Linked DNA regions of Saccharomyces cerevisiae S288C. The gene in region 1 interacts genetically with each later gene. Each region holds a gene or a part of one and is shown on either strand. Other genes may lie near its edges. The genes, in order: ADH4 and PYC2.

Region 1 (3,644 bases):
AAAGGGCACTGTATCTGAGTCCATTAGAATAGGAATTTCAAAGGATGAGAAGGTCAATGCTAACCACTTGTTGGAATAGGTGGTAAATTTTTTCGAATATTTCGGGTTTAGCAGACTATGTACATTTAAAAACCATAATTCTTGAGCAGGATATTCAGCGGTGTCTAGACTTCTCGCATATTTGATAATAGATTTCATGGAATCTTGACTCAGATCTGCATTATGAACAATCTGTATAGGATAATCATTTTTGATGAACCTCAACACTTTCAATAAGCGTATGGTTTCATTCAACTGCACGTCAGAAGCACTAATAACTATGCCTTTCGAACCACTTTGAGTCACAGTGTGCAACCAATTCTCCCAAAAAGATAGCCCTGTATCGAAATTGATGGGCTTAGAACGAAGGAATTGATGGTTTTTGGGGTCAAATTCCAACATAGACGCATGGTAAACCTCGCCATTCCATCTCGTAGTTGTGTGCCAGAAGGCACTTTCATCAGTTTCTAATTTTTCAAAGTTAATATACGGAAAGAGCTTCTTTTCAATATCCCTCAAACGCTGAATATTATGCCCATCAACCTGCTGCAAGCAATTAAAAAAAATCTTAATCCTCGTAACCAGTTCAATCACATCTTTTGCAGGATTCGGGGTTATTTGATTTACGTCGTAGAAGTCATTCAACCACCCAGGCGTAAGACCTTCATAGTAACTCCAGCAGCCACCATTGCCACTGCTGCTACTTTGAACTGGTTCTACCAAATCTAACGAATTCAACTGAGAGTAATATACTACTAACACAATTCCCAGTAGTACAACTAATATAAACAGTCGATTTTTTCTTCTCATATTCGATAAATACTATTGGGGCTACTTTTGTCCTGTCACTGCGGATTTGCAAACACTCATGCGAATATTTTACTCAATTGAGAGATTTGCTGTCTCCCCCCACTTCGATGGTCCCCACCCCTAAAGTAAAGGAAAGAAGAATTAGCACTGTTTTAGTTCCAGGTACTTCTTTCTTTCTTTACCGGTATTGTGTGGCTCATCAAAACTTCGTCTCGGGAAAATGAAAAATGTAAACAAGAATTTCCGTTTCAAAGAGTTGCCTAAGGCCCACTAATAATGTACTTATTATTTACAATTCGGAGAACGCTGCTGATAGAAATCAATCAAGAAGTCCCTTAGTCTTTGTGTGTTTACGCCATATTGCTTAGTTTCGTAGTGCGTTACAGTTCTATCGTGTGAAAATTTTTTTCTAATGCATCAGCTGTTATGCGCACTACTTGAAAGGTTATCGAGCGTTTGTAAAAAGTAGAAGTACTTAAATGAACCTTCACGGTTAAGCAACCAGTATAATTGAGGCTGCTGATTTGAAATTGCGTTTTGTGTTCAGAAGGATCCCCGGAGGCCTTCAATGAGCTTCCATTTTATTTTCTCCAAGGAGGCCATTTTTTGTAGTGTGATGTTGACATGGTTATAACTGTTAGCAGTGTTTGTGATGATGGCTGTAGTATCACCGCAGTGGATTAGCTATGAAAAAAAAAAAAAAGAACTAGTTTTTAGTTCGCGCATCACGAGGTACGTGTTTAATATGTCAGATGCTTGGGATCACGTATGCCGTTAACTCTACAAAGCAATTGATATTTTGCTGCCTCAAATATCTCACACTACTAGGATATATTCTTTTATCAAACAGGAAAAAAGGGCAGCGTACCAACATGTATAAAAGGGTTATTAGCATTTCTGGTTTATTAAAGACTGGAGTCAAACGTTTTTCTTCTGTCTATTGCAAAACAACCATCAACAACAAGTTTACATTTGCAACAACTAATAGTCAAATAAGAAAAATGTCTTCCGTTACTGGGTTTTACATTCCACCAATCTCTTTCTTTGGTGAAGGTGCTTTAGAAGAAACCGCTGATTACATCAAAAACAAGGATTACAAAAAGGCTTTGATCGTTACTGATCCTGGTATTGCAGCTATTGGTCTCTCCGGTAGAGTCCAAAAGATGTTGGAAGAACGTGACTTAAACGTTGCTATCTATGACAAAACTCAACCAAACCCAAATATTGCCAATGTCACAGCTGGTTTGAAGGTTTTGAAGGAACAAAACTCTGAAATTGTTGTTTCCATTGGTGGTGGTTCTGCTCACGACAATGCTAAGGCCATTGCTTTATTGGCTACTAACGGTGGGGAAATCGGAGACTATGAAGGTGTCAATCAATCTAAGAAGGCTGCTTTACCACTATTTGCCATCAACACTACTGCTGGTACTGCTTCCGAAATGACCAGATTCACTATTATCTCTAATGAAGAAAAGAAAATCAAGATGGCTATCATTGACAACAACGTCACTCCAGCTGTTGCTGTCAACGATCCATCTACCATGTTTGGTTTGCCACCTGCTTTGACTGCTGCTACTGGTCTAGATGCTTTGACTCACTGTATCGAAGCTTATGTTTCCACCGCCTCTAACCCAATCACCGATGCCTGTGCTTTGAAGGGTATTGATTTGATCAATGAAAGCTTAGTCGCTGCATACAAAGACGGTAAAGACAAGAAGGCCAGAACTGACATGTGTTACGCTGAATACTTGGCAGGTATGGCTTTCAACAATGCTTCTCTAGGTTATGTTCATGCCCTTGCTCATCAACTTGGTGGTTTCTACCACTTGCCTCATGGTGTTTGTAACGCTGTCTTGTTGCCTCATGTTCAAGAGGCCAACATGCAATGTCCAAAGGCCAAGAAGAGATTAGGTGAAATTGCTTTGCATTTCGGTGCTTCTCAAGAAGATCCAGAAGAAACCATCAAGGCTTTGCACGTTTTAAACAGAACCATGAACATTCCAAGAAACTTGAAAGAATTAGGTGTTAAAACCGAAGATTTTGAAATTTTGGCTGAACACGCCATGCATGATGCCTGCCATTTGACTAACCCAGTTCAATTCACCAAAGAACAAGTGGTTGCCATTATCAAGAAAGCCTATGAATATTAAAAAAATCGAACGAACTCATAAACGTCAATTATGCGTGTGCCTTATTTATTTAGTTGTGCGTACAGTATAATGCACTTATTTATTTACCAATCAAATGATTTTTTTAACTTTTCACGATCTATATAATTACGTTAATTTCGAGTATATAACAATGAAAATATATATCTACGTTGTTTTAAATTGAAAAAAGAAGAACGGAAGTTCTATTAATGAGCCGAGACCGGTACGTTTGTTGAAAATAGTTTGGACTTAATTACTGACATACTGTTGGCTTTGAAGCATTTAAGACTGAAAAATAGTCATGCAAAAGTCATGCTTTAATATGGTGGGTTTCAGTTGGATGCAAGAAATAAAATGAAATTCGAAGGCCTTTTGCAATTAAACAAGGCATCGTCAACCAGACAATGTCGAAAATTTTGAGTCAATCTAAATCAATCCACCGCCACACTGAATTCTGTCAATGATATTGTCTTCCTTTTTTTGGTTTGATATCTCTAATTTTCAACCTGTTATAAGCAACGTCAATCCGATTACTTTCGTGTGTCATTCACATGCGCATATTTTTTTATTCGTTTTATGATATAGCTGTCTTTATTATAACCTCGAAACACAACGGCAATGTAACCTTACCAGCCGCATTATTAC
Region 2 (6,249 bases), on another chromosome or scaffold:
GTAGACTCACTGTACAACAAGCGCATCGGTAGAAGAAGATCATGGATCATTCCAGTACAATTTGTTAGTGGATTTGTGCTATGGGCATTAGGGTGGTGCATATCACAAGGCATAATCTTCGATGGTGTCGACGATGCGTTCCATAATCGCGGTAATGGCACTTTACACAGTGTCAGTATAAAAAATTTGACGTGGTGGTTTGGCCTGTTAGTTTTTCTGTGTGCCACTCAAGACATCGCAGTTGATGGTTGGGCGTTGACGATTTTGTCCAAAGAATCCCTATCATATGCATCTACCGCGCAAACAATAGGTTTGAATATTGGTTATTTTATGTCATTTACCATTTTCCTGTCGTTGAATTCCTCTGATTTCGCCAATAAGTATTTCAGAAACATCCCACTGGATCACGGGTTCATTAGTCTTGGTGGGTACATGAAATTCTCGGGCATGCTTTACATTGTAATAACCATATATATCATCTTTTGCACCAAGGAAAAACCCTACGTAGAGTATTTGCCCAAAGTGGAGCCCATAAATACAAGTGACGGAGGGTCAAAGCCGATAAGTATTGAGTATGACGACGGTGATGTGGTGTCAACTCAGAATACAAGCAGTATAAAGTACATTTACCGCTGCTTTATAAAAGTGTTGAAATTGAAGTCCGTAAGAAGCCTAGCCTTCATTCACATGATTTCGAAATTTGCCTTTCAATGCAACGAAGCCGCCACAAACCTGAAACTACTAGAGCAAGGCTTCAAAAGAGAAGACTTGGCTGTGACAGTACTCATAGACCTGCCGTTCGAAATCATATTTGGGTACTATGTTGTTAAATGGAGCTCCGACAAGGACCCCATGATTCGTGACAATAGAAGATTAAGAAACAGCACGGGCACCAACAAGGTCATCAAGTTCTTAGTTGGGGATGCCGGCGTTTTAACACCATGGTTGTGGGGCTTTTTGGGCCGTCTGGCAGCCGCGGTCTTGGGAAGTTACGTGGTGAAGCAATTCCCCAAGGATGGTGAAATATCCACGGGTTATTTTTGTCTCGTGATATTCCAGCACCTCTTAGGTTCCTTCATGAATACTGTCCAGTTCATTGGAATATCGGCCTTCCATACAAGAGTTGCAGACCCCGTGCTGGGTGGCACATATATGACATTGTTAAATACCCTCAGCAACTTCGGTGGGACATGGCCGCGGTTAATCATTATGTCCATGATCAACTACTTCACCGTGTATCAGTGCACTATTCCTGGCACAAATAAAGTATACGTAACTCACGGCGGCAGCATGCAAGCGTGCACCGAGCTTTTGAATGGCACCGTGACCATCCTGCGTGACGGCTATTACATCACCAATCTCATATGTATTGTAGTCGGACTTTTCCTATATTTTGGATATTTGAAAAGGAAAATCCTCCATTTACAAAGTCTGCCAATCAGTTCCTGGAGATGTACGTAACGACCCCTCAAACAAGAATTGTACGACATTACGTTCAAGAAAATTTTAACGAGTATCGTAATATTTACAAGATCTTTTTATGTACTACAGGAAGCAGAAACAAAATGAGTATCAATACCAGTGTAAATCTGTTAATGAGAATCATCACATTATCCCAGTTTTTTCCATGCAAGGGAAAAATATACTATACGACATTTCTATACTTTAATTATCAATTAAGGTCATCTTTCTGTACGAAAACTAACCACGATTGTCACTAACGACGTGTCCCTTACCCGACGCAGCTGCTGATAGCGTACCGCACAGGCACAGCCAGCTCTTCTGTGATTGGCAGAGAGGGGTCCTTCCTGCGGAAGACGCCGCAAAGGCACATATGACTAACCTTTTTTTTTTCGCAATTAATTTTCTAATAGTTTTTCATTTTTTTTTTACAATTTTGGCAGTTACGTCTCGAGCTATTTATTATAAGAGTCAGAATTGGCGCAGGGAGTGTTAAGTAAGAAGTACTCCCCATCGGATATTTCCTATTGTGTTTCTGTGATTTTTAGTCCTTTTTTCTTTTCTCTTACTTTCGGTATCCTTACTTGATTACATACATAAACAAGCCCCTCTTTTCTTCCAAACTCTTGTAGCTTACTATCTGTGGCCCGTCATTTGAGTTTGATTTTTTTGCCAATTACTATATTGCAAAATAAAGGACAGTTACTAGGAGAGAAAATAAGGGACATAGAGAACAAAATAAAATATGAGCAGTAGCAAGAAATTGGCCGGTCTTAGGGACAATTTCAGTTTGCTCGGCGAAAAGAATAAGATCTTGGTCGCCAATAGAGGTGAAATTCCGATTAGAATTTTTAGATCTGCTCATGAGCTGTCTATGAGAACCATCGCCATATACTCCCATGAGGACCGTCTTTCAATGCACAGGTTGAAGGCGGACGAAGCGTATGTTATCGGGGAGGAGGGCCAGTATACACCTGTGGGTGCTTACTTGGCAATGGACGAGATCATCGAAATTGCAAAGAAGCATAAGGTGGATTTCATCCATCCAGGTTATGGGTTCTTGTCTGAAAATTCGGAATTTGCCGACAAAGTAGTGAAGGCCGGTATCACTTGGATCGGCCCTCCAGCTGAAGTTATTGACTCTGTGGGTGACAAAGTCTCTGCCAGACACTTGGCAGCAAGAGCTAACGTTCCTACCGTTCCCGGTACTCCAGGACCTATCGAAACTGTGCAAGAGGCACTTGACTTCGTTAATGAATACGGCTACCCGGTGATCATTAAGGCCGCCTTTGGTGGTGGTGGTAGAGGTATGAGAGTCGTTAGAGAAGGTGACGACGTGGCAGATGCCTTTCAACGTGCTACCTCCGAAGCCCGTACTGCCTTCGGTAATGGTACCTGCTTTGTGGAAAGATTCTTGGACAAGCCAAAGCATATTGAAGTTCAATTGTTGGCTGATAACCACGGAAACGTGGTTCATCTTTTCGAAAGAGACTGTTCTGTGCAAAGAAGACACCAAAAAGTTGTCGAAGTCGCTCCAGCAAAGACTTTGCCCCGTGAAGTTCGTGACGCTATTTTGACAGATGCTGTTAAATTAGCTAAGGTATGTGGTTACAGAAACGCAGGTACCGCCGAATTCTTGGTTGACAACCAAAACAGACACTATTTCATTGAAATTAATCCAAGAATTCAAGTGGAGCATACCATCACTGAAGAAATCACCGGTATTGACATTGTTTCTGCCCAAATCCAGATTGCCGCAGGTGCCACTTTGACTCAACTAGGTCTATTACAGGATAAAATCACCACCCGTGGGTTTTCCATCCAATGTCGTATTACCACTGAAGATCCCTCTAAGAATTTCCAACCGGATACCGGTCGCCTGGAGGTCTATCGTTCTGCCGGTGGTAATGGTGTGAGATTGGACGGTGGTAACGCTTATGCAGGTGCTACTATCTCGCCTCACTACGACTCAATGCTGGTCAAATGTTCATGCTCTGGTTCTACTTATGAAATCGTCCGTAGGAAGATGATTCGTGCCCTGATCGAATTCAGAATCAGAGGTGTTAAGACCAACATTCCCTTCCTATTGACTCTTTTGACCAATCCAGTTTTTATTGAGGGTACATACTGGACGACTTTTATTGACGACACCCCACAACTGTTCCAAATGGTATCGTCACAAAACAGAGCGCAAAAACTGTTACACTATTTGGCAGACTTGGCAGTTAACGGTTCTTCTATTAAGGGTCAAATTGGCTTGCCAAAACTAAAATCAAATCCAAGTGTCCCCCATTTGCACGATGCTCAGGGCAATGTCATCAACGTTACAAAGTCTGCACCACCATCCGGATGGAGACAAGTGCTACTGGAAAAGGGACCATCTGAATTTGCCAAGCAAGTCAGACAGTTCAATGGTACTCTACTGATGGACACCACCTGGAGAGACGCTCATCAATCTCTACTTGCAACAAGAGTCAGAACCCACGATTTGGCTACAATCGCTCCAACAACCGCACATGCCCTTGCAGGTGCTTTCGCTTTAGAATGTTGGGGTGGTGCTACATTCGACGTTGCAATGAGATTCTTGCATGAGGATCCATGGGAACGTCTGAGAAAATTAAGATCTCTGGTGCCTAATATTCCATTCCAAATGTTATTACGTGGTGCCAACGGTGTGGCTTACTCTTCATTACCTGACAATGCTATTGACCATTTTGTCAAGCAAGCCAAGGATAATGGTGTTGATATATTTAGAGTTTTTGATGCCTTGAATGATTTAGAACAATTAAAAGTTGGTGTGAATGCTGTCAAGAAGGCCGGTGGTGTTGTCGAAGCTACTGTTTGTTACTCTGGTGACATGCTTCAGCCAGGTAAGAAATACAACTTAGACTACTACCTAGAAGTTGTTGAAAAAATAGTTCAAATGGGTACACATATCTTGGGTATTAAGGATATGGCAGGTACTATGAAACCGGCCGCTGCCAAATTATTAATTGGCTCCCTAAGAACCAGATATCCGGATTTACCAATTCATGTTCACAGTCATGACTCCGCAGGTACTGCTGTTGCGTCTATGACTGCATGTGCCCTAGCAGGTGCTGATGTTGTCGATGTAGCTATCAATTCAATGTCGGGCTTAACTTCCCAACCATCAATTAATGCACTGTTGGCTTCATTAGAAGGTAACATTGATACTGGGATTAACGTTGAGCATGTTCGTGAATTAGATGCATACTGGGCCGAAATGAGACTGTTGTATTCTTGTTTCGAGGCCGACTTGAAGGGACCAGATCCAGAAGTTTACCAACATGAAATCCCAGGTGGTCAATTGACTAACTTGTTATTCCAAGCTCAACAACTGGGTCTTGGTGAACAATGGGCTGAAACTAAAAGAGCTTACAGAGAAGCCAATTACCTACTGGGAGATATTGTTAAAGTTACCCCAACTTCTAAGGTTGTCGGTGATTTAGCTCAATTCATGGTTTCTAACAAACTGACTTCCGACGATATTAGACGTTTAGCTAATTCTTTGGACTTTCCTGACTCTGTTATGGACTTTTTTGAAGGTTTAATTGGTCAACCATACGGTGGGTTCCCAGAACCATTAAGATCTGATGTATTGAGAAACAAGAGAAGAAAGTTGACGTGCCGTCCAGGTTTAGAATTAGAACCATTTGATCTCGAAAAAATTAGAGAAGACTTGCAGAACAGATTCGGTGATATTGATGAATGCGATGTTGCTTCTTACAATATGTATCCAAGGGTCTATGAAGATTTCCAAAAGATCAGAGAAACATACGGTGATTTATCAGTTCTACCAACCAAAAATTTCCTAGCACCAGCAGAACCTGATGAAGAAATCGAAGTCACCATCGAACAAGGTAAGACTTTGATTATCAAATTGCAAGCTGTTGGTGACTTAAATAAGAAAACTGGGCAAAGAGAAGTGTATTTTGAATTGAACGGTGAATTAAGAAAGATCAGAGTTGCAGACAAGTCACAAAACATACAATCTGTTGCTAAACCAAAGGCTGATGTCCACGATACTCACCAAATCGGTGCACCAATGGCTGGTGTTATCATAGAAGTTAAAGTACATAAAGGGTCTTTGGTGAAAAAGGGCGAATCGATTGCTGTTTTGAGTGCCATGAAAATGGAAATGGTTGTCTCTTCACCAGCAGATGGTCAAGTTAAAGACGTTTTCATTAAGGATGGTGAAAGTGTTGACGCATCAGATTTGTTGGTTGTCCTAGAAGAAGAAACCCTACCCCCATCCCAAAAAAAGTAATTTTTACTCGTTAATTATATTTTATGACATCTGAAAATACTAGCTGTACTATATATGGCGTATATTTTATCTAGTTATGTTCCCATGTATATTTAAATGCCAAATAGAAAGTAATCAAACACTTTCGATGAAATACGTGCTAACTGTGTTTCTTCCTTAATGCTTTCACTTACCATGTCTCCATTCTCCATTTTCTTCTTGAGTGAAAATGTGAGTTTATAACGCTCAAGTACGTTAACTACTCTATTTAATATCGTACGGGATTTTTGATCGACTGTAGGTTTTCTTCTTAGACCATTCCAGCGCCCGGGTATTTAACCAAACGCTACGGATGCACAATAACTTACAATAAGCTCATCATTAGTCTTGAATTGCATCCAAAGTTCACCAATATTTTGCTGCGGACTTGGCGCAAACGAATTATTTATATAACAATAAACATGGTCCATTTTCAGCCGTCTCTTAAGAAATAAAATAACCATTGCAAAAGACTGTGACAT

Evidence for each region.
Region 2: mutations in ADH4 (region 1) and PYC2 together harm fitness less than expected from each alone (positive genetic interaction), as found in Saccharomyces cerevisiae (2 studies listed by BioGRID).

What each region holds. Positions count from the first base shown.
Region 1 is NC_001139.9:13,309-16,952, forward strand, and holds ADH4 (alcohol dehydrogenase ADH4), read left to right. Parts: upstream 1-1,850; coding exon 1,851-2,999; downstream 3,000-3,644. Other genes in the region: alpha-1,3-mannosyltransferase MNT2, read right to left, coding at 1-849. UniProt on the Saccharomyces cerevisiae protein: Alcohol dehydrogenase specific for ethanol. Acts mainyl as a mitochondrial formaldehyde dehydrogenase and has no effect on ethanol production. Shows drastically reduced activity towards primary alcohols from 4 carbon atoms upward.
Region 2 is NC_001134.8:658,207-664,455, reverse strand, and holds PYC2 (pyruvate carboxylase 2), read left to right. Parts: upstream 1-2,206; coding exon 2,207-5,749; downstream 5,750-6,249. Other genes in the region: YBR220C (uncharacterized protein), read left to right, coding at 1-1,461; YBR219C (uncharacterized protein), read left to right, coding at 1,153-1,453, 1,875-1,957; ATG12 (Atg12p), read right to left, coding at 6,064-6,249. UniProt on the Saccharomyces cerevisiae protein: Pyruvate carboxylase catalyzes a 2-step reaction, involving the ATP-dependent carboxylation of the covalently attached biotin in the first step and the transfer of the carboxyl group to pyruvate in the second.